Oryctolagus cuniculus: one gene and its partner. The protein of the gene in region 1 purifies or fractionates together with the protein of each later gene. This does not show direct contact. Links are inferred from orthologs where the notes say so. Each region holds a gene or a part of one and is shown on either strand. Other genes may lie near its edges. The genes, in order: CD19 and CD81.

Evidence for each region.
Region 2: the proteins of CD19 (region 1) and CD81 purify together in Homo sapiens (affinity purification with western blotting, with the first as the bait; 3 studies listed by BioGRID). This does not show direct contact. The link is inferred for Oryctolagus cuniculus from reciprocal best matches to the Homo sapiens genes CD19 and CD81.

What each region holds. Positions count from the first base shown.
Region 1 is NC_091450.1:7,742,539-7,758,262, forward strand, and holds CD19 (B-lymphocyte antigen CD19), read left to right. Parts: upstream 1-3,994; 5' UTR 3,995-4,263; coding exon 4,264-4,351; intron 4,352-4,522; coding exon 4,523-4,786; intron 4,787-5,070; coding exon 5,071-5,241; intron 5,242-5,373; coding exon 5,374-5,652; intron 5,653-6,887; coding exon 6,888-6,998; intron 6,999-7,286; coding exon 7,287-7,335; intron 7,336-7,624; coding exon 7,625-7,713; intron 7,714-8,114; coding exon 8,115-8,228; intron 8,229-8,355; coding exon 8,356-8,460; intron 8,461-8,539; coding exon 8,540-8,608; intron 8,609-8,717; coding exon 8,718-8,774; intron 8,775-8,855; coding exon 8,856-8,912; intron 8,913-9,410; coding exon 9,411-9,497; intron 9,498-9,587; coding exon 9,588-9,679; 3' UTR 9,680-9,694; intron 9,695-9,857; 3' UTR 9,858-10,067; downstream 10,068-15,724. UniProt on the Homo sapiens protein: Functions as a coreceptor for the B-cell antigen receptor complex (BCR) on B-lymphocytes. Decreases the threshold for activation of downstream signaling pathways and for triggering B-cell responses to antigens.
Region 2 is NC_091432.1:1,164,938-1,180,491, forward strand, and holds the start of CD81 (CD81 antigen), read right to left. Parts: upstream 10,390-15,554; 5' UTR 10,163-10,389; coding exon 10,097-10,162; intron 8,878-10,096; exon of another isoform or gene 8,618-8,877; intron 2,507-8,617; coding exon 2,392-2,506; intron 471-2,391; coding exon 373-470; intron 271-372; exon of another isoform or gene 1-270. UniProt on the Homo sapiens protein: Structural component of specialized membrane microdomains known as tetraspanin-enriched microdomains (TERMs), which act as platforms for receptor clustering and signaling.

The DNA of each region.
Region 1 (15,724 bases):
CTCCTGCTGCAAGCCCTGGTAACTCGACCTCCAGTGCACCGAATATTCCAGAAGGTGTTCCTTTCCCTCCATTTCCAGTACTGACCCCTAGTCTCTGGCCCCATCATCTCCGTCCTGCTTAGTAACCATCCTCCACCACACACACACATTACAAAGGCCCCTTTAGTTAGTTCTGCAGAACGCAGTTGGAATCACCTCTGTGAAACATGTGAAGTGGGGGCCGACGCTGTGGCGTAGCGGGTGAAGACGCCGCCTACAGTGCCTGCATCCCATATGGACGCCGGTTCGAGTCCTGGCTGCTCCACTTCCGATCCAGCTCTCTGCTGTGGCCTGGGAAAGCAGTAGAAGATGGCCCAAGCCCTTGGGCCCCTGCACCCATGTGGGAGACCCTGAAGAAGCTCTTGGCTCCTGGCTTCAGATTGGCACAGCTCCGGCTATTGAGGTCATCTGGGGAGTGAACCAGCGAATGGAAGACCTCTCTCTCTCTCTCTGCCTCTCTGTAACTCTGCCTTTCAAATAAATAATTCTTTAAAAAAAAAAAATTCTTGTGCCTGCTTAAAAACCTAGTTGGCCACTTTGAAACTGGTTAGACTTTTCACCGTGTCACAGGCAGCAAATTCAGCCATGAACAGATGTTCAACATCATTAGCCATTAGGGAAGTAGAAATCAAAGGCAGCAGGAGACAGGGTCATGGACATCTTAACAGTGGCTAAACAGAGTAACAACGCCAAATGCCGCTGAGTGTGCAAAGGAACCGGGTTTTTCTGTACTGCTGCCAGCAAAGTGACTGGTGCTGGACCCAGGCCAATGCCAGGAGCCTAGAACCCAACCTGGCTCATCTATGCAACTCTCATTGGCTGCCACCCAGGCTGCACAGAAGCAGGGAGCTGGAACTGGGGGCGGAGCTGGGACTTGAACCCAAACACTGACGGACAATGCTGGCAGCCCAGGTGGTGTCTTTTTTTTTTTTTTTTTTTTTTTTTTTTTTTTTTTTTAAGATCTTATTGAGAGGTAGAGTTGCCAACAGAGAGAGGGATGCAGAGAAATCTTCCATCTGCTGTTTAACTCTCCCCAAATGGCCACAACAGCCGGAGCTGAGCTGATCTGAAGCCAGGAGCCAGGAGCTTCTTCCAGGTCTCCCATGCAGGAGCAGGGTCCCAAGCACCTGGGCCATCTTCTACTGCTTTCCCAGGCCATAGCAGAGAGCTGGATCAGAAGAGGAGCAGCCAGGACTTGAACCGGCAGCCATATGGGATGCCGGCGCTGCAGGCAGTAGCTGTACCCATCACGTCACAGCGCCGGCCACTTAGGTGGTGCCTTGACCGCTGTGCCAAACACCTGCCCTTTTCCTTCCTTTGTTCAACTTCCTGAGCGTCTGTAGATGCCCGTGTCGATCCGGGGACGGAGAAGATCCCCGTTCTCCAAGAAAGGGCATCTAGTGCAGGAGGCGGTCAGAACACTAATAAGTAAGCCAAAGTTGAGATTTGGGGAAAGTGCCGAGAGGAAATCCAACAAGAACCTGAGAACAAAAAAGTTCGTGGAGAGGGGTCAGAGCAGGCCTCTCTACGGAAGTAACATTTGCGATTAGGAGAAACCAGAGGGATGGAGGGAGTGGATGAATCATGCCAAGGGCAGCAAGTGCAAAGGCCCTGGGGCTGGGACCGTGGGTGGCAAGTTGGAGCGTGGGTGGAGGAGGACAGTGGCGGCGGGGGGGTGAGTGGCCGACGTAGGTGGGCCTTGGTTTGGAGTTTTCCTTTCAGGTGGGTGGGAAGCCACGGAAGTGTTTTCAGTGGGGGACTGACACACTCTAGCAAGAGCTGAGCTGGAGAGAGATTTTGTTGGGGTCTGGTTGCCGTCATCATTTCTCCAGTGCCTCGCTCTTTCCCCTCCGGTCAGCCCGAGGGAAGTGGGGCCCTGCCACCTGTAGGGTCCCCTGGGGTTTGCTTAGCACAAACAGGAAGCCGCAGGGCAGTGACACAGGCAGGCCTGGGAATCCGCAACTGAGAAGACAGGTCTCCTGGGTCCCGGGATCCTTTCCCTGAGAGAGATGGGAGGGGTGGGACAGGAAGTATGGGGCAGTCTGGCGTCGGGGGCCTCCTGGGCCCTGCTGCTCGCAGCGCCAACAGCTCTGTGTGTGACTTCAGGGAACGCCCTGCCCTGCTTGGGGCCTCCATTTCCCTATTAAAAAAAAAAAAAAAGGCTTATTTATTTATTTATTTGAAAGGCAGCGTTACAGGGAGAGAGAGGGGGAGACAGAGAGCCATCTTCCATCTGCTGGTTCACGCCCAGGTAGCCACAGTGGACAGCGCTGGACCAGGCTGAAGCCAGGAGCCAGGAGCTTCCTCCAGGTCCCCTACACAGGTGCAGGAGCCCGAACACTTGGGTCATCTTCCGCTGCTTTCCCAGGTGCCATAGCAGAGAGCTGGATCGGAAGTGGAGCAGCCGGGACTCGAACTGGCGCCCCTCTGGGATGCGGGTGCCGCAGGTGCTGGCCTTACCTGCTGCACACAGCACCAGCCCATTTCCCCGTTTCTAAAAAGGCTCCTTCCAGAACTGCAGCAGGGGCTTTCTGGGGGCAGAGCTGCTGAGTCAGTGACTTCTCAGGAAGAGCCACTGTGGCCCCAGCCTCGCAGCCGCCCAGCCCCCTGCTCCCCCTGCTAGCTTTCTCTGTGTTACTGGATTTATCATCGGGACAATCTGCCGAGAAAGTCGCACTTCCAATTTACAAAGAAGGAGACTTACCCATGGTTTTGAAGCTGGGCAGTCTGGCTTGAGCTCCTCCGTATGAACTGATTAACTGAGGGCCTACTGTGTGCTGGCTGCTGGGCTAAAGATGTCACACAAGGGCCGGCGCCACGGGTCACTAGGCTAATCCTCTACCTAGTGGTGCCAGCACACCGGGTTCTAGTCCCGGTCGGGGTGCCGGATTCTGTCCCGGTTGCCCCTCTTCCAGGCCAGCCCTCTGCTGTGGCCAGGGAGTGCAGTGGAGGATGGCCCAAGTGCTTGGGCCCTGCACCCCATGGGAGACCAGGAGAAGCACCTGGCTCCTGCCTTCGGATCAGCGCGGTGTGCTGGCCACAGTGTGCCAGCTGTGGTGGCCATTGGAGGGTGAACCAATGGCAAAAGGAAGACCTTTCTCTGTCTCTCTCTCTCACTATCCACTCTGCCTGTCCAAAAAAAAAAAAAAAAAAACAACACAAAAACGATGTCCAACAAGTATTGTCCTCTTTCATCTTTATAAACAATATTTTAAAAATCTTAAAAATCACTTTCATTTTATTTGAAAAGTAGAGAGACAGACAGAGAGATCTTCCATCTGCTGGTTCACGACCCAAATGCCCACAACAGCTGGGGCTGGGACAGATGGAATTCAGGAGCCCAGAACTCAAATCTGGATCTCCCATGTGGCTGGCAGGGACCCAATTTCTTGAGCCACCCCTGCTGTCTCCCAGAATGCACATTAGCAGGAAGCTGGAACAAGAAACAGAGCTGGGATTCAAACCCAAGCACTCCAATATGAATATGGGCATCCCAAGGGATTACCCAGCCACTGTCCCAAATGGCTGCCTCCAAATAACATTACTTATAGTCCTGTCATTCTCCCCAGTGGACAGAAGAAGAAACTCAGGCTTTGCGTGCTGAAGGAAGTTAGCTACAAGTAGAGGTGGAGGATTTGAACTCAGGTCTGCCGCAGGTGGTCATGGGGTAGGGGTGGGGGGTGGAAAGAGGTCCAAGAAATGTTTGTTGAATGAAAGAATGAGGTGTAGGTGTGAAGGGAGCCTGGGGTTGGGAGGGGGGAACAGGAGGAAGCCCCTGAAGCGGAATCCACTCATTCAACCCAGAGTTCGCCGTCACCACCTTTGTGCCAATCACCGTCCTGGGACCGTGTGCACAGGGAGGGGAACGAGACTCTGCCTCTGCTCCCAAGGGGCTCACACACTAGTGGAGAAAACAGAAGTGAGCCCCTCCACACACGCAGAGACACACACACACACACAGACACACACACAGAGAGACACACACAATCAGTTCTTGTGGAGCTAAGTGTGGGGCGAAAACAAGACAGCACACGGGGAGGAAGCAAGCTGTGTGGGTCTGGAGGGGGCCTGGAGAAAGCAGCCCGAGGCGTGACCACCCCTTCCTCTCTGAGGGGACTGCCTGCTCGCCCCCACAGGCGTCCATGGTTCAGTGCCCAGCAGGCCCCTGCCTGCCCCAGCATCCCCTGCGCGGGGAAGCTGGGCGGCCCGGGGAGTCTGGCCACCATGCCACCTCCTCTCCTGCTCGCCTTCCTCCTCTTCCTGACCCTGGGGAGAGTCAGGCCCCAGAAACTACTGCAGGTGGAGATGGAAGGTAGGTCCAAAGAGGCAGAGAGGGAGGGAGTCGGGGTTGGAAGCCTGGGTTTGGGCTGGGTGCCCTCCACAGCGTGGCTCACCCTCTCTGAGCCTTTCTAGCTTGTGACCCAGCAGGTGCTGGGGCAGTGACGGGAAGGGGCTGGGACTCTCCCTCCCTCTCTGCCCACAGAGGGAAGTGATGCTGTGTTGCCGTGCCTCCAGGACCCCCCGGATGGTCCCCCTGAGCGGCTGATCTGGTCTCGGGACTCCCAAGGGCCTTTCCTGGAGCTGAGCCCCGGGTCCCCAGGCCTGGGCATCCATGTGGGGCGTCTTGGCATCTTGCTGCTCATCTTCAACGTCTCTAATGAGATGGGGGGCTTCTACCTGTGCCAGCCAGCGCCCCCCTCCCAGCAGGCCTGGCAGCCTGGTTGGACGGTCAGCGTGGAGGGCAGCGGTGAGGGCTGGGCCGGCCTGGGGTCAGGGAGGGGGGAAGTTGCTGGATGGGAAGTGGAGAGCCCAGTGTAGCCAGCGGCCAGAGCGGAGCTGGAGGGAGGGCTGAGGAGTCGCCTCCTGTGGTTCTGAGACCACCCCTGAGGGCCTCCTGTCTCTCTCCCACCCTCCCCTCTCTCTGCGAGTCACTGTTTCTCTGTGTCTCTATTCATCTCTGCCGTCCCCGAGTCCCTCTGCCTCTCCTGCTCTCCTGGGAGCCTCTGTATCTGGTTCTGGGTCTCTCCCCAGGGGAGCTCTTCCGGTGGAATGCTTCGGACCTAGGTGGCCCAGGCTGTGGCCTGGGCAATGAGTCTTCCAGCTCCCAGCCGTACGTGTGGGACAGAGACCACCCCAAGGAGTGGGACATGGGGCCTGCCTGCGCTTCCCCCAGGGGTGATCTGAACCAGAGCTCCAGCCTGGGTGAGGGGAAATGCTGGGGGGGTGCCAGGAAATGGGGGTCCTGCCTGGGGGGCAGTGACTGGAAACAGAAGGGGTTGGGGAGACAACACCCCAAGGATTAGGTATCACTTTCCTTGTCTCTCCCTGCCGCAGACCTCACCGTGGCCCCTGGCTCCACTGTCTGGCTGTCCTGTGGGGTGCCCCCTGCCTCTGTGGCCACTGGCCCCGTTTCCTGGGCCCACATACACCCTACGAAGCCCAACATCTTATTGCCAAGCCTAAACCTGACCGCGGAATCCCCAGCAAGAGAGATGTGGGTCCTGGGGCCTGTTCTGATGCTGCCCCAGGTCACAGCTGTGGATGCTGGGATGTATGTCTGTCGCCGTGGCAACCTGACCACGGAAATTCACGTGACAATCACTGTCCGGCCAGGTAGGGCTTCTCCCCACTGTGGGGGCAGGTGCTGGGGAGAGGGGGGTTACGGGGAGGAAGTGGAAGCCAGGCCATCTTGGACTCCCAGCCTGAGGGCTAGTCCCAGCCTCTTCTCGTCTACACCCTCTTTCCATGGGACCTCCTTTGCTCCCGAGGAGTCACCATGCCTTGATCACTCTAGTTCAGGCTCCAGACCCCTATCTCCTGGACTTGCCATTCCATGTAGACTGCACATACACAAAAATCAAAGTTAGTGTCAGGCAGGCGCCGCGGCTCACTAGGCTAATCCTCCGCCTTGTGGCGCTGGCACACCGGGTTCTAGTCCCGGTTGGGGCGCCGGATTCTGTCCCGGTTGCCCCTCTTCCAGGCCAGCTCTCTGCTGTGGCCAGGGAGTGCAGTGGAGGATGGCCCAAGTGCTTGGGCCCTGCACCCCATGGGAGACCAGGAGAAGCACCCGGCTCCTGCCATCGGATCAGCGCGGTGCGCCGGCTGCAGCGCGCCGGCCATGGCGGCCATTGGAGGGTGAACCAACAGCAAAGGAAGACCTTTCTCTCTCTCTCTCTCTCTCTCTCTCACTATCCACTCTGCCTGTCAAAAAAAAAAAAAAAAAAAAAAAAAAAAGTTAGTGTCATCCCCAGGTGTAGACTTCCATGTGCCTCCCATTGAGGGAAGGACATCATACCACTTGCCTTCCTGCCCAAACCAGACACCTGGGCCTTCTTCCTTCTCCCCACCCCAGCCAGTGAACTGGCCACATTGTACTGGCCACCTAGTCTTCATTTTAATGCAATCCTACCATGCTCTTCTCCCAATCACACGCCTCAAAGTCAGCCTCAACGGTCACTCCAAACTTGACCTCAGCAATGTGCTGGGTTCCGACATTAGCCTGCCAACTCCACTCTGTACTTCGCGTTGACCATGACCGTGTGTAACTGCAGCAAGGAAGCTGACGGTGCTGCTCCCCTTAATCCTGATGCGGTCTCTGACTCTTACCCTGGCTTGCTCACTAGAGGCTGCCCCGAGCCCTGGGCCAGGCTCTGCGGAACAGTCCCCACCCTCGGGGGACACGACTCCTTAGATGGAGGGATGAGCGCCCTCCTCATAGCTTGGGACTTTGAACCTGGGTCTTGTTCCTCCCCCCCAACCCCACCCCTGATTTATGGTCCTTGGAGGTCTTGAGGTTGGGAAGTGAGATGCCAGGCTGGGGTCCTCCTCTCATAGCCCCTCCCCCCCAGCAATATGGCACTGGCTGCAGAGGAAAAGCGGCTGGATTGTTCCAGTTGTGGCTTTGCTTTATCTGATCTTCTGCCTGGGCTGCCTGGTGAGCTTTCTTCACCTTCGGAGAGGTGAGTCCTGGCCCCCAGCCAGTCTGCACCAACCCTTCTTCCTCAAGATAAGCCACTTCACGTCTGGCCACCGTGTTTTTCTCCTCCTGTCCCTCATCCACAAACCCCAGAATCCCCCACCCCACCCCCCACCCCAGGCCCTCTAACTCACCTCAAACTTCTCAAGCCCCTGGAAACTCGAACTCTCATCTCCTTTTATGCATCCAACCCGAACTCCCCAGCAGCCCCCAAAGCCTCACCCTGCCAAGCAGCCCGCCCTCTGACCACGCCCCTTAACTCCCCCACCAGCCCTGATCCTGAGAAGGAAAAGAAAGAGAATGACGGACCCCACCAGGAGGTAAGGCGGCAAGTGCACCCCGTTCTTCCCGCCATGCTTTGCAGTCACTGCCTCCAGCGTGTCTCTGTCCCATCTCTACCCGTTGGGATACGGCCCAGTCTCCAGCTCAGCGCCAAAGCTACCTCCTTTTCGTAGACCTCCTTGGAGTGGTCCCAGAGCCCTCCGCGAGCTGTCCCGGCCTCGGGGAGCAAATCACAGGGCGCCATGTTCAACCTCGGAGGGCCTGGTCTGTATCTTGTGTCATCTGGTCCCTTCCAGTCCTGATCTCACTGCGCATCTCTCCTGCCAGATTCTTCAAAGTGACGCCCCCCGCAGGAAACGGGGCTCAGAGCCAGTATGGGAACGTGCTCTCTCTTCCCACGCCCACCTCTGGCACAGGTAAGAGGTCCTGCCAGGCTTCTGGCCCGGGTCCGCCCCTCCGGCCTTTAGCTCCGCCCCCAGAGGTAGAGCTCCACCCAGTTGTTCTCATTCCTCCAATCCCCTGAGAGCCACCGCTTCTCAGGCTCAGAACTCCGCCCCAGGGGCGTGGAGCCCCGCCCAGGTTTGACCACGTGCCCCTGGAAACACGCCCACCCCCAACACTCACAGTCCCGCCCCGAAGACGCCCAGGCAGCGGGTCCCTCACCCCCCAGCTTGAGGCCCCGCCCCTAGATTGAGATCCCGCTCCCGGGTTGAGGGCCAGGTGCACAGACCCGGAGTTCCGCGGTGGAGCCCCCAGCATCCCGCCCGCTGTGCGCTCCCAGCGCTCTGACCCCGCCTCGCGCCGCCCCTCTCGCCAGGACGCGCCCAGCGTTGGGCGGCAAGCCTGGGGGGCGCCGCCGCACCCTATGGACATCCGCTCAGCGACGTCCAGGAGGCTGGAGCCGCGGGGTCCCGGAGCCTGCCAAGAGCCAGTGAGTGAGGAAGGGGGTGTCAGTCCCCACTTGGAGCGGGTGTTGGAGTGGTCCGTGGCACGGATAACGCACTGAGGCTTGGAGGAGGGAGCATGCGCGGTCCCCCACCCCTATCCCACACCCCCAGGCCCAGAAGAAGAGGAAGGGGAGGCCTACGAGGAGCCGGACAGTGAGGCGGACTCCGAGTTCTACGAGAACGACTCTAACCCGGCGCAGGACCAGCTCTCCCAAGGTAAGGCTGCCCACTCCCACCCCCTACGCCCCCGCGGCGGGCTGTGAACCCCCGCCGGACGCCCCTCCTTCTCTCCTAGACGGCAGCGGCTATGAGAACCCCGAGGAGGAGCCGTCGGGTCCTGAGGACGATGACTCCTTCTCCAACGGTAACGCGGGGTCCTCGTGGGGTCTCGGAGCCGTGGGAGGATGCCTACGCTTGGAGCGCCTGGCGGCGGGGGCAGGAGTGGTCCCTGGAGTCCCTCTCTTGTCCCGCAGCCGAGTCCTATGAGAATGAGGATGAGGAGCTGGCCCCGCCGGTCACCAGGACAGCAGGTGCGTGGGAGGCAGCCTCATGCCCCGGGACGGGCCGGCCTGCAAGCCAGCAGCACGGTGACGCCCCTCTTCCTCCTCCAGACTTCCTGAGCCCCCACGGGTCTGCCTGGGACCCCAGCCGGGAAGCAGTCTCCCTTGGTGAGAGCTCCTTGGAGCCAGCCCGCCTTGCCCAGCCTGGGCGGACCTGGCCTCGGCTCTGACCCCGGCCCAACCTTGACCTGACCCTGACCTTCCGTTCGATTCCCTAACTGTAACCTCAACCCCCAGTAGTTGCACCATCCCTAACCTTGAACATCAGCACAGCCCAAACCCATTCCACACTGGGCTTTGACCTTCAACCCAGCTTTAATGCAGACTTCAATTTTGACCCCAGCCCTGCACAGATGTCCTCATGGCTCTGATTCCCTCCAGTTTGGTTCTTGACCGTTTCTTTGACCTAACCCCTGGTTAACCCTGACCCTTCAGCTACCCAGGGCCCAGACTTGAAGCTGACCCACCCGATCACCCCTCCTCGTAGACCATGGGTCAAGCCTGCCACCTTCCCCTGCCCCTCGGCACCTGCTCCTTAGGGTACCTCCCTTCCCCAGTCCCCAGCCCGGCTGCCAGCCTCCAATCCTCCACGCTCCGCCCAAGCAGGCTCCCAGTCCTATGAGGATATGAGAGGGATCCTGTACGCGGCTCCCCAGCTCCGCTCCTCACGGCCAGGGCCCTCTTATGAGGAAGGTGGGTGCTTCTGCGGTTCCCCCACCACCAGGGTCCTCTGGTCTCAGTGCCCCTCCCAGCCGACCTGCACCCCTCCCTGCTCCTATCCAGATGCAGACTCTTACGAGAACATGGACAATCCCGACGGGCCAGAACCAGCGTGGGGAGCAGGGGGCCATGGGGGGACCTGGAGCACTAGGTGACCCCCAGGTGACCAGGTACCCCAGGGACAGGAGGAGGAGGGAGGCGACAGGCAGGGAAGGCAGTGGAGGGCTGGCTAGGAGGGAGGGAGGGGGCAGGGTTCCCAGGGCCTTGGAGTGGCGGGGGCAGAAGCTGGGCCCCTGGACCCTTCCTCACCTCATTACCATTTCTCCTACATAGCTGGGGCTCCTGAGACCCCTGAGAGCCACACCTGACTCTGAAATCTAGGGACTGCAAGCAGATGGTGTCAACCTGTGGAACAGCATTGCTCAGGACGTGTGCGTGTGTGCTTGCACGTGTGCATGTGTGTGTGTGTTTGTGTGTGTGTGTGTGCAAGTAAAACTCCCTTCCCTTTTTGCTTTCCCCAAATAAACTCGGCGAGCTCTTCCAGTCCTATGGAGTCGTTCCCTTGTGTGGGAGGGAAAGAAAAGGTGAACAGGGTCGCACCGCTGTCCCCCGACTCTGCACAGCAGGCCGTCGCTCCTCTTTCCTTAACTTGTCTGCCCCATGCCCACCACCCGCTCACCCAACCGTTGTTGGTTCAGCGGTAGACTGCCCGGAGCCCAACAGTGAAGAGGCAACCGTCCAGGAAGTAGCAGTCGAGGGACGAGACGTCCTGCACCACCACTGGGTATTTATGTATTGTTCTACTAGGGTCTGCGCAGTTTTTTAGATGTATTATTTATTTTCCTTTTATCTGCAAGGCAGAGAGAGGTGGACAGTCAGAGATCTTCCATCCTCAATAGCTGGGACTGGGCGTGGTCACAGCCAGAAGTCAGAAACCAGGAACTGAATCCTGGTCTCCACTGTAGGTGGCAGGGACCCAAGGACGTGAGCCCCCAGGGTGCGCGTCAGCAGGAAGCTGGAATCAGAAGCAGAGCTGGACTCAGACCCAGGCACTCAGATATGGATGCCAGCATCCCAAGCCCTGGCTTAGCTACGGGGCCAAATGCTGGTCCCCAGGGAAGTGTTCTTTTTCTTCCTTGTGCTTCTGCCTGTGGAGATCCCACAGTTCCCTGGGGCACCCCTGGGAACAGCTGGCTTTGGCTGTGCCACAGTTTTACAGGCTACCCAGACTGCTGAAAGATTCATAAGTTTCTCAGAGCAGGTTTGTTTATTTTTTAAAGATGTATTTGTTTATTTGAGAGGTAGAGTTACAGATAGAGGGAGGGAGAGACAGAGAAAGAGGACTTCCATCCGCTGGTTCACTCTCCAGATGGCCGCAACGGCCAGAGCTGGGCTGATCTGAAGCCAGGAGCCAGGAGCTTCTTCCGGGTCTCCCATGCAGGTGCAGGGGCCCAAGGACTCGGACCATCTTCCACTGCTTTCCCAGGCCACAGCAGAGCTGGATCGGAAGTGGAGCAGCCAAGACTGGCGCCTGTGTGGGATGCTGGTGCTGCAGAGGGAGGCTCAACCTGCTATGCCGCAGCGCCAGCCCCTCAGAACAGGTTTTCACACCAGAGGTGTAGTGTGAATCCAGGCTCATACTTGGGGTTCCAACTGCCCACAATGGCCTTGTCCATCCCTAGCCTGTTGGGAGTGGGCTTTGCTTCCATATTGCACGCCAGCACTTGGGGAAGAATTGGTTTCTTCTCCATCTCTGTGCTTGGAAGACATCGCCCTTTCTCAGCCCCCAGCTTTGTCCCAGAGCTCAGCTCCCTGTTGTTCCTGGGGCCTTGGAATTGGCCTCTGTTCCCTGTGGGTGTTAAAACTCCAGTCTTAGACATTCCAGCATGCCTATGGCTGCTGGGCTCCCCACCCCCCACCGCCCCGCAACCATTGTAACTTTGTTTTCCTTCTGTATTTCTGGTACCAAGAAGATTCTTAAAAAAAAAAAAAAAAAAAAAAAAAAGATTTATTTGTCAGAGTTACAGAGAGAGAGAGAGAGAGAGAGAGAGAGAGAGAGAGATCTTCAATCTGCTGGTTCATTTCCCAGCTGGCCTGCAATGGCCAGGACTGGGCCAGGTTGAATCCAGGAGCCAGGACTTTTACCCAGGTCTCCCACATGGGTGGCAGGGGCTTAAGCATTTGGTCCATCTTCGGCTGCTTTCCCAGGCCATCGGCAGGGAGCTGGGTCGGAAGTGGAACAGCCAGCATTCCAGTCGGTGCCCATATGGGATGTCGGCACTGTGGGTGCAGCTTTACCTGCTGTGGCACAATGCCCAGCCCTGGTACCAAGGAGATTCTGTCCTGCTTTTGAGTTCAATTATCTTTTTCTTTTTTAATTAATTAATTTATTGTTTTTTAAAATTTTAATTAGTTTTTAACAGATTCAATATGGTTCATAGGTACAATTCTAAGAACCTAATGATGGGCTGCTGTTGAGGCCTCATTCCACCACAGGCTGGCATTGTGGAGTAGTGGGTAAAGTTGCCACCTGCCCTGCCAGCATCCCCTGTGGGCACTGGTTCAAGTCCCAGCTGCTCCATTTCCAACCCAGCTCCCTGCTGATGGCCTGGGAAAGCAGCAGGAGATGACCCAAATACCTGGGCCCTGCCACCCACATGGGAGACCCAGATGAAGCCTCTGGCTTCTAGCTTTAGCCTGTCTCAGCCATAGCTGTTGCAGCCATCAGGGGAGTGAACCAGTGGGTAGAAGATTCTCTCTCTCTCTCTCTCTCTCTCTCTCTCCTTCTCTCTCTGTAACTTTGACTTTCAAGTAAATATACAAAGCAAAAAATATGATATAGTCTTCCTCCCTCCCTCCTTCCCTTTCTTTTTTTCTTTAATCTTTTAATTCATTCTTTCCGTGAGTTTTTTTTTTTTAAAGGTTTATTTGAAAGGCAGAGTCAGAGAGAGAGACAGAGAGAATCTTCCAGCAGCTGGTTCTCTCCCCTGAAATGGCCACAACAGTCAGATCTGGGGCAGACAAAGGCAGAGGCCGGGAGCTCCCTCCTGTCTCCCACGTGGGTTGCAGGGGCCCAAGTTCTTGAAGCATCTTCCACTGCCTTCCCAGGCACGTTAGCAGGGAGCTGGCTGGGAAGCAGCACAGCCAGGACTCCAAGGAGCACCCTTATATGGGATGCTGGTGTCATAAGCCACAGCTTAACCTGTTGCCCCACAGCATCGGCCTCTCAGCTGCCCATTAAAACAAAACAAAACAAAAAACAAACAGAAGAAGAAAAATTAGAAACAATCTGGTTTGGCTCACCCCAGCCCCTGGACCCCCCGCCCCCATTGCCATAATCCCTGCCATTCTTTGTCATCTTTCACTCAGTCTCATTCATGTCAGCTTCCTGCCTGTCTGAGTTTGCGCTGTGACTCCTGGTGAAAATACCCTGCCTTCGCGAGATTGGATCCAGGCCTGAATCTCTGTGTGTCTCTGGTCCCCGGCCAGAGTGGGGCAAAGATCTCGGGCAACGAGTGGGCAGCAAAGGAGGAGGAGTGAGACTCTGCAGGAAGGGCTGTGACAGGTGCTTCCTGCAGGCAGGGTGCAGAGGAGGGCGGCACCCCAGCGGCTTGGACCCTCCCACCCCACCCCACCCCCCACTGGCAAGTTGGTGGGGAGGGGAGTGGAGATTGGAGCCCAGGTGTGCTAACTCCAGCCCAGCTCTGAAATCCGAGGATCAGGGTTTGAATCCCAGCTCCAGCCATTTCCGGGGTGTGATAGTTTCCTGGTGGGTAAAATAGGGATAATAAGGATAGGTGCTGGGGTGCTGGGGTTGGCCTTGTGGCATGGCAGATAAAGCCTCTGCCTGCAATGCCAGCATCCCATATGGGTGCCAGTTCGAGTCCCGGCTGCTCCACTTCCAATCCAGCTTCCTGCTAAATATACCCGGAAGGGCAGCAGAGGATGGCTTAAGTCCCCGGGTACCCCCTGCACAGGCATGGGAGACTTGGATGAAGCTCCTGGCTCCTGGCTTTGGCCTGGCCTAGCCCTAGTTGTTGTGGCCATTTGGTGGAACGAACCAGTGGATGAAAGATCTCTCTCTGTCTCACCTTCTCTTTCTCTCTGTAACTCTGCCCATCAAATAAATAAATAGATCTTAAAAAAAAAAAAAAAAGGATAGCTTCCTTAGTCTAAAAGACACATAAAGCACTTGATGGTGGCGTAGGGAGCACTCAAATACCTGTTGATTATTTGGCCTGTATTAGGGGTCTACTGTGCACCAGGAGTCAGGAGACACCAACCCATTGTGCAGAGACCTGCTCGGGCAAGAAGCCACATTCCAACTGGCGCTGTGCCCTAGTGGGTTAAAAGCCTCTGCCTGCAGCACCGGCATTCCATATGGGTGCTGGTTCTAGTCCCGGCTGCTCCACTTCCGATCCAGCTCTCTGCTATGGCCTGGGAAAACAGTAGAAGATGGCCCAAGTCCTTGGGCCCCTGCACTCGCGTGAGAGACCCAGAAGAAGCTCCTGGCTCCTGGCCTCGGATCAGCACAGCTCCGACTGTTGCGGCCAACTGGGGAGCGAACCAGTGGATGGAAGACCTCTCTCTCTCACTACTTCTTTCTCTGTGTAACTCTGACTTTCAAATAAATAAATAAATATTAAAAAAAAAAAAAGAATGGGGACCGGTGTTGTGGTGCAGTGGGTTAAGCAACTCCTGCAGCTCTGGCATCCTATGTAAAAGGTACTGGTTCAAGTTCAAGTTCTGGCTTCTCCTGGGAAGGCAATGGATGATGACCTAAATGCTTGGATCCCTGCCACCCACATGGGAGACCCAGATGGAATTCTGGGCTCCTGATTTTGGCCTGGCTCAGCCCCAGCTGTTGCTGCCATTTGGAGAATGAACCAGTAGATGGACGATCTCTCTCTCTGTCTCTCTCCCCCCCCCCCCCCGCTTGCCCTCTTTGTCTCTGCCTTTAAAAAATGAGCCTGAGTTGATACTTGGCTCCAGCTCCTGACTCTAGCTTCCAGCCAAGGTGCACCCTGGGAGGCGGTGCTGCTGGCTTTTTGTGGCCGGACTCCTGACACCCACATGGGAGACCTGGTTTGAGTTTCTAGCTCTCAGCTTCAACCTGGCCCAGCCCTAGCTGTTGGTGGTGGTATTTGGGGGAACAAAGCAGCAGATGGGAGCCCTCTCTGTTTCTGCCTCTCAAATGAAAAACAAAAGCAAGCAAGCAAACAAACAAAAAACACAGGGGCTGGTGCTGTGGCTTAGCCAGGAGAGCTGCCACCTGTGGCACCAGCATCCCATATGGGCGCCAGTTCACGTCCCAGCTGCTCCTCTTCCGATCCAGCTCTCTGCTGTGGCCTGGGAAAGCAGTAGAAGATGGCCCAGGTCCTTGGGCCCCTGCACCCGCGTGGGAGACCCGGAAGCTCCAGCGGCCCCAGCAGTCATTCTCTATGAGGACGTCACAGACAGCCTGGGCTTGCACCTGCTCTGATGCAGATTTCCTTTATGGCTGTGAACGTCTTCTACAAATGACAGCTTCTCAGACTCGCTGAGAGTCTGCAGACTCGCTGCAGAGCCCTCTCGAATTTGCTAAAGAAGCATTGCGGTGCCCTGGTTTGGTCTCCCATAAGGGTCCTTCCTGCAATGTGGATGGCCGGCTATGAAGAAAGGCTGAAGGGCTCTGGGAGCTGGGAAGTCCTTGGAGTCCCCTCTGTCACCGCCCCCGGGGTCCCTCTGTTCCCTGGGAAACAGCGCCACCTGCTGGAAGTTGTGTGCCTGGCGTGTTGACCTGGGCTGAGCCAGCTCAGAGCATCAAAGGCTTGAGCAGAGGCACTATGTGTGTGTGTGTGTGGGGGGTGTCAGGAGGCTGCGGAGGTGCAGGTGTATGGGTGGCATGTGGGTGGGGTCAAGGTGCTGTTCCAGATGGAGGTGTGCAGTACGAGCAGTCTGAACACCATGTGTGTATGCAAGGCGTGTGGCGTTGAGTGTGTACCGTGTGGGTCTTAGGGGTGAAGGATGCTGTGGGGTGTACAAGGGCACTTCAGAAAGTTCATGGAGGGTGGGCCCGGCATCGCAGCACAGTGAGTAAAGCCACTGCTTACAATGCCAGCATCCCTTATTGGAACGGTAGCTTGAGTCCCAGCGGCTCCGCTTCCAATGCAGCTCCCTGCTAATGTACCTGGGAAGGCAGCAGATACTGGCCCAGTGCT
Region 2 (15,554 bases), on another chromosome or scaffold:
GAGGTGCTAGGATCCCCAGGCCTGGGTGCCTGCCCCCACTCCACCCCCCGACGCTGACTCAACTCCCCCTCCCCCAGCTCCCCAGGGGCTGCGGCGGGAGGAGGGGGTCCCTCATGGTGTGCCTGGGTTTCCCACCCCTGCCCGCGCGCTGGCCAGGCCCCAGCCTCCCACCAGCTGGGGATCCCCAGGCGGGGCCCCGTTAGGCTGGTGACACCTCTGGGAAGGACGAAAAACGCCCTTTGGAAGTCAGGATCCAGGCGTTGACGGGGTCGGCCACAGCGGGACCAGCGTGGAACCAGACACGCCTGGGGGCGGTGCCGAGGGCCGGCGCCACCCGAGGGCCTGGCTCAGCGCCCCCGCTCCCAGCCTCACCGTCCCCAGCAGGCACTGCGACTCCTGGATGGCCCCGTAGCAGCCCAGGAAGCCGACGAACATCATCACGGCGCCCACGGCGATGAGGATGTAGATGCCTGTGGGGGCACAGGGCGCTGGGTGAGCACACGGGGGTGGGGGCAGGGGGCCTCCGTGGGCCCAGCACCACCCGCGGGTGCTCACAGACCCCAGCACCTGTGTGGGGAGGGGGCGGTGAGGCAGAGGTGCCGCCGCCGATGTCCGCCCCCCCCACATAACACCGCAGGGCAGCCGTCCTGGCTCTGGGGTGGGCACAGGAGCAGGGGCTGCACTGGGCGGGGCAGGGGTGGAACTGGCCCCCGAGGCCCCGGGCCCGAGGGTGGGAGCCCGCTGGACGGGATGGGCAGGCCCGCAGACAGCGCCAGGCAGTTGGGGCTGAAGGGCGGGGCCAGCAGGCGCCATCCTGGCCCCGGGCCCTTGGGAAAGGCCCAGCACCCAGCCATCCCCGGTCACCACGGCAACGCAGCTGGGCAGCCCCAGCCTCCTTGCAGAGCCAGGCCCCACGCCAGGCTGAGACAGCCCAGAGCTGCTGGCTGTCCCCCCCCGCTCGGCCACAGGACACCCCTGGCAGGCACTGGCCATGGGGACCTCTTACCAGGGTGCACGGAGTCCTTGGGCCTTGCCACCCCCACCCTTGAGATGGGGCAGGGCCCACGCTGGGTTAGGTCCAGGGAGGTGACTTGGGGTGGGAAGCGTCTCTCGGCGAGAGGACCCAGTGTGGGGAATGGGAGCTGCAGGCCCAGGGCCGCCCACTGCCCCTCCAAGGCCCAAACCCCAGGCCTGAGGTGGCCATGGCTGGAGCCTCCTGCCTGTGAGCGTCCCCACAGACAGGCGGTCCAGCACCCAGGGCTGGTACCCCAGCACCCAGGAAGCCAAAGCCCAGGGGAGGCAGGCGGGTGGCCCGGGCTAGGGCCTGATGCAGCCCAGGGACAGCCCCCAGCTTCCAAGGCCAGCCTGACCCTGCCCCACGAGCCCTCTCCGAAGTACCACTGCCTAGCAGGTCCTGTCGCCCACTCACTCCAGGGCCATGGAAAGAGGCAGGGCTGTGCCTGGCCCAGGGCACACCTGGGGGTAACCAGCTTGGACAGGGGTGGCCCTGGGGCCTCCCTGAGCCCCAGAGACCCCTGATGTCTGGGGAGGGGCCTCACAGGAGAGCGGACACTGCCCGGCCCACGGACAGAGCTGACTGGTCTACTTCCGAGGGGGCCCGGCCCTCGCACCCAGCCTGAGTCCAGCAGCCATGCCCCACCCCACCCCTTTCTCCTGACTCAGCGCCCTGGGCGAGGGCTAGAACGGGACCCTCCCCAGGAATGGCTGGGCCCAGCTCGCTGTCCAACCCACACACAGGAAGGCCGAGGCCCAGGCCGAGGCTGTGGGCAGGGTGTGGAGGGGGCCAGAAACGGGCACCCCACCCCGTGACCAGCGCTCTCAGCCTCCCTGGGCCCACACCCCTTCCTGGCACGGCACAGGAGGGAGGCCCAGACCGGGAGCCCTGAACCCCTGGAGCCCCCCTCAGCACCCGCGTATTTGGGGGCAGCAGAGGGGCAGGCCCAGGGCCATCCTTTAAAGGAGAAGCATCTCAACCAGGCTCCAGCGCGGGGCTGTGCCAGACCCCGCCCCCTCCCTCACCCCCCCTGCTGGGGCGGCCAGGCCCCCACAGCCTGCCTTATTAGGGCAGCAAGGTGCAGCGGCCTGCCCCGGCTCCATCCCGGCCTCAGCTGCTCCGGCCCAGGCATCCAGCCCCACCCTCCACGAAGCGTCCCGTAGAATTCCCATGATAAAATGAGCGAGGGCTTGGCACAGCTGATCCAGGCTCGGCCGGCGGCGGCAGCTCGGCCCCCAGGGTGGCCTGTGGGTCCCCGCAAGCCACAGGCCCATCTTAGTCCTGGCTGGCTGCCTCTGCCCAGTGCCAGGCCCCGCCTGCCCCAGGAAGCCCTCCCTGACCACCTGCCCGTGGCCACCTCAGCCCAGAGCACTCACCCACGTAGAAGGTGTTGGGTGCAGGCCTGTCTCCTAGCTCCAGGTAGAGGAGGTTGGTGGTCTGGGGGTCGTGGCGGAGCCACAGGGCCACGCCCAGGATCACACCTCCAGCCAGCTGGGGACAGAAGAGGCAGTGTCAGGTGCAGCTAGGGCCCCATGGGGCTTCCCGGGCCGGCATCTCTTCTGGGGACAGACCCTCCCTCACTTGGCGGTCGGTCCTGGGGTGGGGTGGGAGGGGAGGGCAGAGCCGCCCCTCCCTGGAAGAGCCGCCTTGGTGCCCCTGGGACCTCCCACCAGCACCCCTGCGACTCCAAGGTCGCCAGCACAGGTGTGTGCGTTTGAGACAAAGGACTCTGAGCCTAAGCGGGGACGTCCTCCTACTCGGGGTTGGCTGGGCGTCTGCCTGCTCGTTTGCCCCAGGCCCCCTCCCGAGGGGGGCCTCACCCACTGCTGTCTTGAGCCCCTGCGCAGCTGGGAACCCCTGAGATGCGGACCCCGAGTCTCTGTTGCAGGAGAGGGCCCGGCATGCGGTTTGTGGGGCAAATCCCGGCAGCTGCCAGGGAGGAAGGAAGGAAGTGGTGCTGTGGGCCGCGGCGAGAGGCGCTTGGTGGGCAGAAAGGCGCTCGGAGCCAGGTGGCGGCCGCGCGGTGGCCCAGGGCCCCTCCCAGGACAGGTGGCCAGCTGCAGGTCGCCCTCCCTGGGCAGGCCTGCCTCCACCACACGCTCCCCGGAAATACCCGGGACCCCGAGTCCCACGGCCTGCACCCTCGCCACTGCTTTCCCACACAGCCAGGCCCCTCCAGATCCCCTCTGCGTCCCCCCCCCCCCCCCACCGCTGCACAGGCCACGGCAAGCCTGGAAGAGACTGTCAGTCCAGGGCCCCGCCCACAGCAGGAGGTCAGGCTCTGGCACAGGGAGCCCACTGCCAGCGCCCACAGGCCTTGCCAAAGCCCTGAGGGCTTCCCGCAAGAGAAGGCAGGGACTGTGCAGGGAGGGGAGTCTCCCCCCCAGGAGGGACGGGCTCTCTGTGGCCGGCCGTCACAGGTGCCCCAGGGAGGCCCCACACCCACGCCTCGGCGGCTGCTGATGGCAGAAAGGAAACTAGAAGCCGAGACCACCACCTTGCCGGCCCAGCTCTGGCTCTGTGCCCCCGATGGGGGGTGGGCGTCGGGGGCTGCGGGAGGGGGTCTCACTGCCACAAGGACCACGAACGGCGCGTGCCCCGGAGCCCCTCAGCCCGGCAGCGGGGGTGGGACAGGAGCCTACCTCCCCCCGGGGCCCTCGATGGAGCCGGGTCCCCAGCCAGCAGCCGGGGCGCCGTCAGGGCCCCCAAGGACCCGCAGGGCTCCTGCTGGCCGACCTGCCCACGGCAAGGCCCAGGGAGCCAGGGCCCTGAGCTTCCAGAATCCTGAAGCAGACAGGTGGAGGGTGTGGGGGAGGCAGCGGGGAGCGTGGGGCCCCGGCCTGGCGCTCGGCGGGGAAGTGTCACTCAGGTCTCCTCGGCTGCGCGGTTTCCGTTTTGAACTCCTGACCCCGAGGTCACTCTGAGAGCCGTCCCAGGACATGGGGCGAGCCCCCGCCCCGTCCTCTCCCTCTGTGGCCAGAGCCTGCCTCAGCGGCTTGTGCTGTGAGGTCCTGGCAGGTTGTCCCAGGGTCCTCACCGGGAGAGCCAGGCCGTGGGCAGAGCCTGGCTCTGTGCCACCCAGCCCAGGGACCCTCACTAGTCTGCGACCTGGCACAGGCTGGGGAGCTGGTCCTGCCCAAGGTGGATGCGCCGGCTAGGGTGGGCCGGGGTGGGCCGTGAAATCCAACTGCAGGTGGGACTCGGAATTCGACAGCTGCACAGCGCGTGGCACCACCACCGGAGACGCCAGCATCCCAGATGGGCGCCGGTTCAGGTCCTGGCTGCCCCACTTCCGATCCAGCTCGCTGCTAACAGGCCTGGGAAAGCACCGTGGGATGGCCCTGCACCCACGTGGGAGACCTGGAAGAAGCTCCTGGCTCCTGGCTTCAGCCTGGCCCAGCCCTGGCCATTGTGGCCGTCTGGGGAGGAAACCAGCGGGTGGGAGATCTCGCTGTCTCTCGCTCGCTCTCTGTAACTCTTTCAAATAAATATTTTTTTAAAAATGGGTAATTAAATATCCAAAGGGCCCTTAGCAGAAAAGAGGCCCCCAGCCCCTGTCCCAACAGAAACGGGGAGCAAGTGCCACTCAACGGGCGCCCAGGCAGGGGTCGCTGGTCTCCCTGCCCCAGGTCGCAGGCAGGGCGGGGAGGGGAGGTGGCCTCCGGGCAGGAGCCCCGGGCCCTGTGCCCACCGTGGGGAGGGCAGAGGGCAGGCCAGCGAGGAGGGCTCTGGCACTCAGAGTCAGACACAGCACCAGGACGGACAGGCCTCACAGGGGCCAGGCAGATGCCACGGGGCGGACGGCTGACCTCCCGGACGCCCCACCCGGGGGGCAGCTCCGAGGCACAGGACGGAGCACTCAGCTGGAGCAGCAGGGAGCAGAGGCAGCTCTGGACGAGAGCCGGTGTTCCCTGGCTGGGGAGACCCGCGCTGGCCACTGGGCCCAGCTGCCCGGGGCCAGGAACGCAAATGTGAAATGCACCTGGCAACTCGGGGTGGAGCCTGGGGGACCCTGGGGGCCGTCCCACAGCGGACACCCACATGGACCGGTGCGGGCCAGCCTCGGGACGGAGACACCGAGGGGAGGGTGGGCGGGCCAGGCTGGACACTCACAGGGCAGTGCGATGCAGACCTGCCAGCCCCGTGACGGGCAGAGACTCACCGTCCCGGACGGGGCGGGCGGCCAGGGGCCTGGACGCGCTGGGAGGGCGCCGTGCTCTCCTGGTGGCGGCTACTGTGCCACAACTCACCAAGCCGAGCACTTTCGATGCCCGCATCCTCAACAGGAGGTTTTAAAAACCCCCACACCCAAATTCCCGGCTCCCCCCGCCTCCGGTGGCCAGCAGCCCACACCCAGGGACGCTCAAGGCCAGGCCATGGGTCAACATGTGGGATGCTGGCTCGAGAACGCCCCATGCTGGACACCACGATGAGAGGGCACTGGACAGAGACCGCGGGGGAGGGAGGCCCGGGCCCCCTCCGCCACGGCCTTCAACGCCCCCGTGCCGGGGGTCTGTGCACCACGGGCTCCGTCCACTCCTCTGCCACGGGGCAGCACCCACCGAGAGGCTCCCGCACCCCGGGGTACTGCCCGGAGGGGGCGGCGCAGGGCTCGGGCGGAGGTGGGCGGGGAGCAGCCCGCGGTCTGCAGCAACTTTGGTTTCTGTTTCTTCCTCCTCCTGCCTCCCTCCGCCCCGAGAACTAATAACTAACAGAGCCAACGACACGGGGCTGCCAAGTGCGCCAGTTCCCAGAAGCAGCCGAAAGGCAGTATGGGGCGCGGGCGCTGCCCAGGCGGGCTTCCCGCCCTCTGCCAGACCCTGGCCGGCGGCGGGGCTGTGCCCTCTGGCTCCCAGGTCACCCCAAGTGCTGCCGACACAGCCTGCTGGGCAGCACCAGCCCCCCTGGGTAGCTGGAGCCCTGCCCCGTGCACTGGTCTTGGGGAGAGGCCACGGGCTGGGGGGCCACATGTGCTGGGACACAGAAATGCAGGCCGGCTGGGTGACGGGGCGGGGCCGGGGGGCCAGCGAGACCCGGGGTGGGGGCCGTGAGGCTCCCCGGAGGGAGGCCAGCCTGTGCTTGCAGCCTGGGTCCTGGGCATGGAAGCGGGGACAGGGTCAGGCAGGGTCCTGCGGGGCGGGGAGGGGGCACGGAGGGAAGGGGCGCTCGGTCCTCACCTTGGCCAGGAAGCGGAGGCGCCGCTTGGGGCCCTGGGCCTCAGGAAGCCGCCTGTCCCAGCATCTAAAAATAGGTCCAGGGCGAGGCCGTGGACCCCAGACCCCGAGGGCAGGCGGCCCGTTCCCCGCAGGACAGCTGCTGCTGGCCCAGGCCAGCGTCCAGCTCCCCCTGCAGGGAAGGGGGGGTCGCGGGTAGCCAGGACCCTGACAGTTGTGTTTCGGGCAGGATGGGCAGGGTCCCACGGGTGAGAATGGGAGGTTGGGCCCTCGGAGGGCGGTGGGAGGGGTCCCAGGGCAGGTGGGGTGTCACCAGCCAGGAGAGCCCCCAGAGTTGTTCCCACCTGCCCCAGCAGAGCCTCCCCACCCCAGCTGGCCCTGGAGACCCCAGGCAGAGGACGGGGGCTGCCAGAGTCCCGGGGCGCCTGCAGGCCGTGGCAGTAGGGCGGGTGAGGAAGGGGCTCTGGTCCCAGCCCTGCCCCCTCGTGGGCAGCTGGAGGCTGAGGGGCCGGCCGCCTGGCACGAGGCGGGCAGCCGTGAGCCGCCAACATCTCCCGGGCACAGAGGGAGGCCTGTTGCGTGCTGCTGAGGTCACGCCAGGCGTGCGGTGGGGGTGCAGCCCGTGCTGCTCGAACCACTGCCCCTCGCAAGTCCAGGGCCCGGGACCCAGCACTGCAGCCAGGCACCCCCACCCCGCCACGTGCTGGGCACCCCACAGCTCAGCTACAGCGCCCAGACACAGGGGCTCCCGGGCGCCAACTCTGAGTGCCCCCAGCCCCACAGCCGTCCCAGCCACCCCCATGGCCACAACACTGGCAGCCAGTGGAGGCCGCCCGAGGCCCGGGCCGGACGTCCCACTGCCCACTGGATGCCCCAGGGGGAGAGTTCTGACTGGGCCGGGCAGTACCGAGGATGTGCACGGTGCTGGGGGTGCCCGGGAAACCACACAGATTTTTGGAAGGCACCCTGGGTCACACCACATCCCACTGGACAGGTGTGGGCCTCGGAGGGTGCGTTCCGGGCGAGCCCAGTTCTGGGGGCAGAAGAGGTGGGTGTCCGGGGCTGAAGATCACCCGGTCCTCACCGCTCACTGGCCGGGGCACAGGGGTCAGGGCCGGAGCAAGGGCCACCTGCCTGCCCCCACCCAGGGTCCTCCCCGAATCAGCCGCTTGGGCGAGGGCGCCCCTCCCACGGTGCCTGGACTCTATGCCTTATTGATTTCACCACCAAAGCTCTCCCCTGGGATGGCGTTTCGGAGCAGAAACGGGGCTGGGGTCTGCCCAGCGACCCGCACACGGTGGCAAAGCCAGGAGAAGGCCCAGCAGGCTCAGCAAAGCATGAGGGCAGGGCTCTGGGCCACCTGCCGTGGTACCCAGGGCCCTGCCGCCCTCCCCGGCTGAGGACCCAACGCAGGCGCAACCATGCACTCTCTCCTCTGCAGGCCGGGCCGAATGGCTGTCTCCCCGGCGTGGGGTCGGTGTGGGGGCACTGGGGGAGTCCAGTCGCCCCCGTGCCGAGTCCCCCCGACACAGCCTGCTGGGGTCGCCGTCCGAGGCAGGGAGCAGATGCGCTGGCGGGGTGACGGACGGTCACGTGCCATCTGGCAGAAGTAAATCGAGCGCCTGTTCCCAGGGCTTCATCTGCCACTGGAAGGCAGCCACCGGCTGTACCTCTCAGGACACCTGGCCACCGTCACACCTGCCGTGCAGGCCAGCTCTACGCACCCCTGCCCCATCCCAGGAGCTCCGGGACCCAGCCCAAGGGCATCCGCACGGTGCTCTCTGCTCGGGCCGCCGGGGAGCCCACGACCTCGCTGGCCAGGACGCCTCACTGCACATGGCCAGCGATGGGAGGAAGACGAGCACCTGTGGGACACCTTCCTCCCCGGGGCTGCCAGGCTCCCACGGCTGCCTCCCCCCTCGAGGCGGCTCCTGAAATGGGACTTTTAAAAAGTGCCCCACGCAGGGGCCGGCACCTGGCACAAGGCTGACAATGCCGCCCGGGGCGCCCGCAGCCCATGTGGGAGCCCTGGGTTGAGAGCCGGCTCCAGCTGCCTGCCGAGCTGCACCCTGGGAGGGCAGCAGGTGCGGGGCCCTGGACTGGGCTTCCCCAGCTTCAGCCTGGCGTGACCCCTGCAGGCGTCTGAGGAGCGAATCAGAGGACGGGCGTCTCTCTCTGCCTCTTTGACTTCCCAATAAACATCTTACAAAGCGCCCATCCAGACGTGCAGTGCCCACCTGTCCCGCCACACCCCCGCAAGCCCCCAGGGCCCTCCATCCACAACAGGCCCCGTGGGGCGGGCACCCCCGCGCCCAGGCATTTCCTCCTGGGCCAGGCCCGGCCCGGCTCTCCTTGGCCGAGCTTCACGGCGGCTGCCATGCCCAGCCTCCTTTTCCGGAGCCGTCCCTGCGCCAAGCCCCTCACTCACACGAGCAGCCTGCCAGCCACCAGGAAGTCCACGAAGACCCCGCTCAGAGGGGGCTCTGCAGTGCAGGGAGCCGGGTGGGGGCCCCGGGGACAGGCCGGTGGGGGCCCCCGGGACAGGCCGGGCGGGAGGGGCCTCGGAACCAGCGCCCCGGGGGGTGTGCTCCAGCCTCCACCAACCGGGAAGCGGCCCAGCTCCCTGGGGGGCGCGCCCCCGGAGATCTCCCAGCTGCTGGCACTGCTGCACAGCCCAAGGCACAAACATCTCCAGGAGGAGGCCCCGCCCCCATCCCGTCACCCCCCTCCCCGGGCCAGCAGAGGGACGCCCCCTGTGCCCGTCACCTCCTACGCGTCTGGGCCCTGGCAGGCAAACACTGACCCACACAGATGCCACCTCCTCTTTGGCCAAGGCCCCAGGGCCAGGCTGGGCCGGCCAGATGGCCTCACCGCCACCCCACGCGGGAGCGCAGTGTCCCCGGAGCCGGCAGCCCTGTCTCTGTTCTCCCTGCCCGAGGTCCTCGCTGGCCCGGCAGCTGTCCAGATGCGAAGCAGATGTCCCGGGGCCCGCGCTAAAAGTTGACCCTCCTGCCTCAACTTGGGGAGTGCGGAGCCTGCCAGGACGGCGCCCAGTGCCCTGCAGGAAGGGCCAGACCCGGGGGGCAGGGGCAGGGGCAGGGGCAGGGGCCGGCCGTCTGGCCCCCCCCCACCGCGCTCGGCCTCTCCACCCCCCACCCCCAATTCCAGGGCCGACAGGAAATGGAAACAAAAGGCGAAAACATCACGGGCCGCCTCCCCGGCAGCCAAGAAAGTTCCCCCAGGACCAGCCCGCGCCGACCCCTCCCTGCAGAGCGGGGAGCCCCAGCCCGCACCCGTGCCGCCCTCCGCCCCAACGCGGGCCCTCCCCGCCCCGAGCGTCCACAGCCCCCCGGGGCCAGGCGGGACCGGACGCGCAGCGCCAGCGAAGAGGGGCGCTGGGCCCCCAGGAACCCCGGTGCGCTGCCCCCAGGGACCAGAGGGCGACTTGCCCTCAGGGCGCGGCGCGGAAGAAGGGCCCCAGGCGCCGGCCCAGAGCGTGCGCCCCCTCCCCTCGCGGCCCATTCCGGGGCGGTGGCCCCGATGAGCTCATGGGGGCGGGGCAAGCCCCTCCGCCCGCGCCACGCCGGGTGGTCCCGGGCACTGCGGCTGGGGACGCGGCTCCGGGCCACGCGCGCCGACCTGTCCCGGGCACAGAGCGGACAGAGCCCCGCGCCCCCTACCCAGACGCTCCGCCGGGCCGCGGGGCTGGGCCCCGACACGCAGAGGTCCCCGCCGCCGGGCCCGCCGCCAGGGGCTTCGGCGGCCCTGGACGCCCCCCACCCGCGCCCGGAGCCCACAGGTGGCTCCGCAACTCGACGGCCGCCCGCGCCCCCTCCGCGGGGCCTAGCGCGCGGCCTGCGCGCCTGCCCTCGGCGGGCCGCGCCCCGCCCCCCGCCCCGCTGCTCACCCAGAAGACGAAATTGAAGACGAACAGCAGGTACTTGATGCACTTGGTGCAGCCTTCCACCCCCATGGCGGCGCGGGCGGCGGGCGGCCTGCGGGCGCGGGCCGGGCCTGGGCGGCGGGCGGGCCGGGGCGCGGGGCCGGGCCGGGCGCGGGGCCTGGAGGGCGGCGGGGGCCGGCGAGCCCCGGGCTCGGAGCGCGGCGAGCGGGACGCGCGGGGCGCGGGGCGCGGGAGGCCTGGCCGGTAGCACGGAGGGGTCGCCGCCGCCGCCGCCGCCGCTGTGCGCGCTCGCTCTCTGGCCGGGCGCGCGCCCCCTCCGCGCCGCTTATAGGACAGCGCGGCCCCGCCCCCGGCCCGGCCCCGCCCCCGGCGCCCGGAGCCCCGGCCGCGGGACAGAGCCGGGTGGGAGAGGGGGCGGGGTGAGGGTGGGAGGAGGGCGCTGCGGCTTCCTGGGTCCGGTCACCCGAGACCGTCGCGTCCCCAGCCGCTGGCCGGGCGAGTGTCCCCCGAGCGTGGGCATGCAGCACGTGTCTGGGAGCAAGACCTCCCCTTCCCCCTGCTCAGGCGCCTGTCGTAATCCCCGAGGGCTCCCGGTGGAGGTGATGCAGTGGCGGATGGCTCTGCACGCACCGGAGCTCTGCTCCTCTTGCTGTCCAGGGCAGACCAGGGGTGGGCCTGAAGGTCTGGACCCGAATTCTCGGCAGCCAGTTCCTGTGCTAGGGAAAGCCGTTGCTGCCGCCCCCAGCAGCCTCGGCAAAGGTCACCAGCTGGGCCCCAGACCAGCGCGACCAGCGCGGGAGCCACCGTGGCAGCTCGCACCCACCCGCCCTGCCACTCCCCGGCCCTGCCCTCGCAGCTGGGGTCTGGTGAGGCAGTGGGGACTGATGGGACAGCGAGGGGTGCTTTCTCCCAGGCCCCAGGCCCCAGCCAGCGCTGGCCCCTCATCGGCCCCTCCTCATCGGCCCCAAGCAGGTCATGCAGGCCCACGTGCACCCGAGGCTGCGTCCTGGGCAGGCGCTCGCCCGGACCCAGGTGGGGCCGGTCTGAGTCCTGCCCCTGCCCCGTGCAGATGGTGGCTGGGGGCTGTCTGCGTGGGTGTGTCCTCCCCGGGCTGACTCCTCCCATGGTTTTCCTGCTGGCCGGTGGGTGCTCGTGGTTGTGTCCCACGCCAACGTGTGAGCTGCAGGCACAAGGTCCCGCTGGACGTCTGGTCTCCGAGAGGCCTTTGTGGGTGGGAGGGGCCAGAAGAGCCGGCGTCTGGTGAGCTCCCCGCTGTCCCCGGTGCCAGGAACGCTTCCTGCCAGGCGGAGCCCTCGGTCCGAGGCCGGTCACCCGGCCGCCCTGTCCTGTCCTGTCCTTGGCTTGGTCACGCGTCTCACATTTCCTGGCCCCTTTGTGTGGCAGGAGCTGGGCCAGGTGCTGGCTGGGGGGGCAGCCAGGACCCCTCCCCTGGAGGGCCTGAGACAGGTGCTGCCCCACCCAGGAGCCCAGGCCGGGATGCTTGATGGGGGGAGGGGCTGACAGGGGAGAGGAGCCTTGCAGGTAGATGGGTGAGGCTGCAGTGGCCGACGGAGCCGAGCAGGGATGAGAGCCTGACGCCCAGATGGGCTGGTGCTCCGTTTTGGTCACGGTGGGGTGGGGTGGCCTGGGGGTGTAGCTGGGCCCGGTGGCTGCCGACAGTGGAACCCCGGCTCCGTAGGCTGGTGGGGGACACCTCAGGGGCCTGGTGGGTGTCCCATGCCCTTGACCTCATGTGTGCTGGGGGCCCAGGGCAGTGAGGACAGGGCACGTGTCACTGTGATTCTGGGACAGGTGGGCGCCACCGGAAGTTGGCCGGGCCTGAGAGAACTTCCTTCCGGTTCCAGGACCCCGCGGACAAACCCCCAGGTGGGCTGTGTGAGAAGAGGGGAGGGGCTCGCCCAGGGGCCGTGGCTGGGCTGGGAACCCCTGTTCCCGCAGCCCCCGGGGGTACCCTGCCCAGGGAAGGTGGGGCTGCGTGTGCTGAGGGCGGGGCGCCAGGCAGGGGGCGGGGCATCAGGCAGGGGCGGGGCACTAGGCAGTGAGCAGGGCATCAGACAGGGGCTGGGAACCAGGCACGGAGGCGGAGCATCGGCAGGGGGCGGGGCACCAGGTAGGGGGCAGGACTGGTCACCGCAGCCTGGCTGCTTTGCTCGGCCACCTCCCTGCTCTGGGGAGGCTGCCTCAGTTTCCTCAGGCTGCCGCTGGCTTCTGTGAGCTGTCTGTGGCTGGGAGACCCCCGTGCCCCCAGGACCACGCACTCCCCCCTGCCTGCCCTGACTTCCTGGGCCATACATGACGGCGGCCGGAGGAGGACCAGTGGGGCCTGGAACACGGGGCCGGCTGTGTGCAGGGCAGAGGCTCCACGGGGAGCTGCTAACGGCTCAGGCCATACGCGGTGTTCACAGCCCAAAGGACCACATCCGGGTGGCTCATCTCGACACACGCAGTGGGGGCGGCCCCCAGAGCCCCCAGCCCTCTCCCGCGGAGAAAACGCTCACTGGCGGCCGAGAAGAGGGGGCTCGTCCAGCTGGGATGCGGGGCTCCGTGGAGCCTCAGGACGCCCTCCGGAGCAGGCCCGGTGCGCGCCCACGCTTCTCCCCTGCCCGGCTCGCGCTGGGAGGCACCACAGAGATGCACAAGGCACCCAGTGGGGGGCAGGAAGTGGAATGAGAGCGCGCCCCTCCCCAGGAGGTGTTAGGGGCTAGCCCTTTAGGGGGGCGTCAGAGGGCCGGGGCCTGGGGAAAAGAAGTCCCGGACTTCCGGCCCACCGTGTGGGTCAGCGCGCCTCGGCCTTGGCCGCACAGGCAGGCGTCCCCAGGGCCACGGCCACACACCGGAGGACAGCGGCAGTGGCACAGTGCCCGTGCCAGCCCCACGCCTGGACGCCAGCTCCAAGAAAACGCGGGAGACCGCCTCACCCATGCCACCCTGTGCGGTCGCCTCTTGAGAGGGGAACATTAGGCAGCCAGGTGGACCTCGGCCCGTGTGTGTATAAGGAGTGGGAGCTCTGGTATGGCCGAGCCAGGGAGGAGGGGCAGCAGGTGCACGTGGAGCCTGGCCCTGGAGGGTGAGTTCCAGCCGCCCCAGCCCTGCACCACGGGGGCTCCGGGGAGAATTCAGCCCCCCTCCCAGTGATTCCCAGGAGGGGGCTTGGGGGGAGAGGAATGCTGGGCCGTAGCCCATTTCCATAAAAACTGCAGTGTGGACGTGGAAGGGGGTCCAGCTCTCCCCCAAGAGGCCGCCTGCTCTCACAGCCCTTGGCGGGCTCAGCACGGCCGCTGCCTCAGCCTTGGGACTGTGGGAAGTGGGTTCCTGATGTTTGCACACCTGTCCTGCTCCTGTTCTGTTAGGTGGCCCACATGGGCCAAGCCAAACATGACGCCCCGTGTGCTGACCACCTGGTACTGTGTGTGGAGCATCCTGAGAAATCCACCAAAAACTATTAACATTAATGCTAATAAGTATTATTACTTATTATTGTGTTAAGACCATTAAGATCAAAACTCAGTTTTACTCCTATACCCCCGCAAGGAGGATTGCAAACAAAATAAAGATGGCAATCCCATTTAGAATAGCAGCAATAAATAAATAAACACATAAATAAAAACACCGGAAACACCCTAGGACACGGTGAGCAGAGACGCACCAGGCGCGTTCACTAAAAAGGACAAAGCGTCGGTGAAAGACGTTGGATGCCGCGAGCTCCGTGTGTGGGGTCGGAAGACTTAGTCTGGTTAAGATGACAGTGTTCCCGTGTGGATCTACAGCTTTAAACACGGTCAGAAGTCCAGCCGGGGGCTGCCGTGGTGGCATAACCCGTGGAGCCGCGAGAGCTGCCGCCTGCAGTGCCAGCATCGCACATGGGCGCCGGTTTGAGCCTCGGCTGCCCCCCGTCCAGTCCAGCTCCCTCCTAATGCACCTGGGAAAGCAGCAGAAGGTGGCCCCAGTCCTTGGGCCCCTGCACCCACGTGGGAGACCCGGAAGAAGCTCCTGGCTCCTGGCTCCTGGCTCAATTTGGCGCAGCTCCGGCCATTGCAGCCATCTGGGGAGTGAACCAGCAGATGGACGACCTCTCTCTCTCTCTCTCTGTAACTCTGTCTTTCAAATAAATAAATAAATATTAAAAAAAAAAAAAAGAAAACCCACGAGCAGACAGGAGGGCTTTTTTTTTTTTTTGACAGGCAGAGTGGACAGTGAGAGAGAGACAGAGAGAGAAAGGTCTTCCTTTTGCCGTTGGTTCACCCTCCAATGGCCGCCGCTGCAGCCGGCGCACCGCGCTGATCCGATGGCAGGAGCCAGGATCCAGGTGCTTTTCCTGGTCTCCCATGGGGTGCAGGGCCCAAGCACCTGGGCCATCCTCCACTGCACTCCCTGGCCATAGCAGAGAGCTGGCCTGGAAGAGGGGCAACCGGGACAGAATCCGGCGCCCCGACCGGGACTAGAACCCGGTGTGCCGGCGCCGCAAGTTGGAGGATTAGCCTATTGAGCCACGGCGCCGGCCAAGGAGGGCTTGTTCTTGCAGTCTGCACTCCGTTGGTCCGTCCGTCTGTCCTCACCCCAGGACGCCCCCTTCTGGTCACTGCAGCCTCACAGGGGCTTGAGTCAGGAAGTTTGGGTTTTCCAACTTTGTGTGTGCTGGGGGAGGGGGTATCAGACCTGGGCCATCTTCCCCTGCTTTCCCAGGCCGGAAATGGGGCGTCCAGGACTGGAGCCGGCGCCCAGAGGGGATGCTGGCACCACAGCGCCCGCCCCCGCCCCATTTACTAATGGGAGTGAATCGTGCGCTGTGGAGGGACTGATGTGCAGAACACAGACAGAACTCTGAGAGTCTTCATGACCCAGCGACGTCGAATCCCGTCCAGGACAGGGCAGCCCGGCTGCGCGAGGGCGAAGGGCCGGCTCGGGCCCTGCTCCAGAGCGCAGGTGGCCGCTAAGCCCAGGAGCAGGTGCTCGGCGTCACTTGTCCTGGGGAAACGCCGGTCAGCAGCACGGGCCAGGCCACCGCTTGTCCCCTGGATGCAGGCTCTCGCGGGCACTCACGGGGTGCAGACGCAGCCCTCGCTCCAGTGGGGCGGCCCTCAGGGTTCTCGCGGTCCACAGGACCAGCCGAAGGGTTTCTTGCTTTGAGGCATTCGGACAAGGACTTCGTCCCTGGATACCTGCAGGCTTGGACGTCCGCAAGGCTGCAATCCGGCTGCTCTGCTGTATGCAGGACAAAGCCCTCACGACACGGGCGTTCGGCGGGGGCGAGGCCAGCACTGGGGAGGAGCGGGCGTGCTGGCAGTGCCGGGCCGCCCGGTGTGCCAAGCTGAGCAGTTCAAACCCGGGGCCGCCCGCCACACTTCGGAGCTGCTGGGCTGACCCGGGGTGGCCCAGCGGCACCAGAGCTGTTCTCTCTGCGGCTTCCACGGGCTGTGGCACAGAAGTCGAACGAACCCGT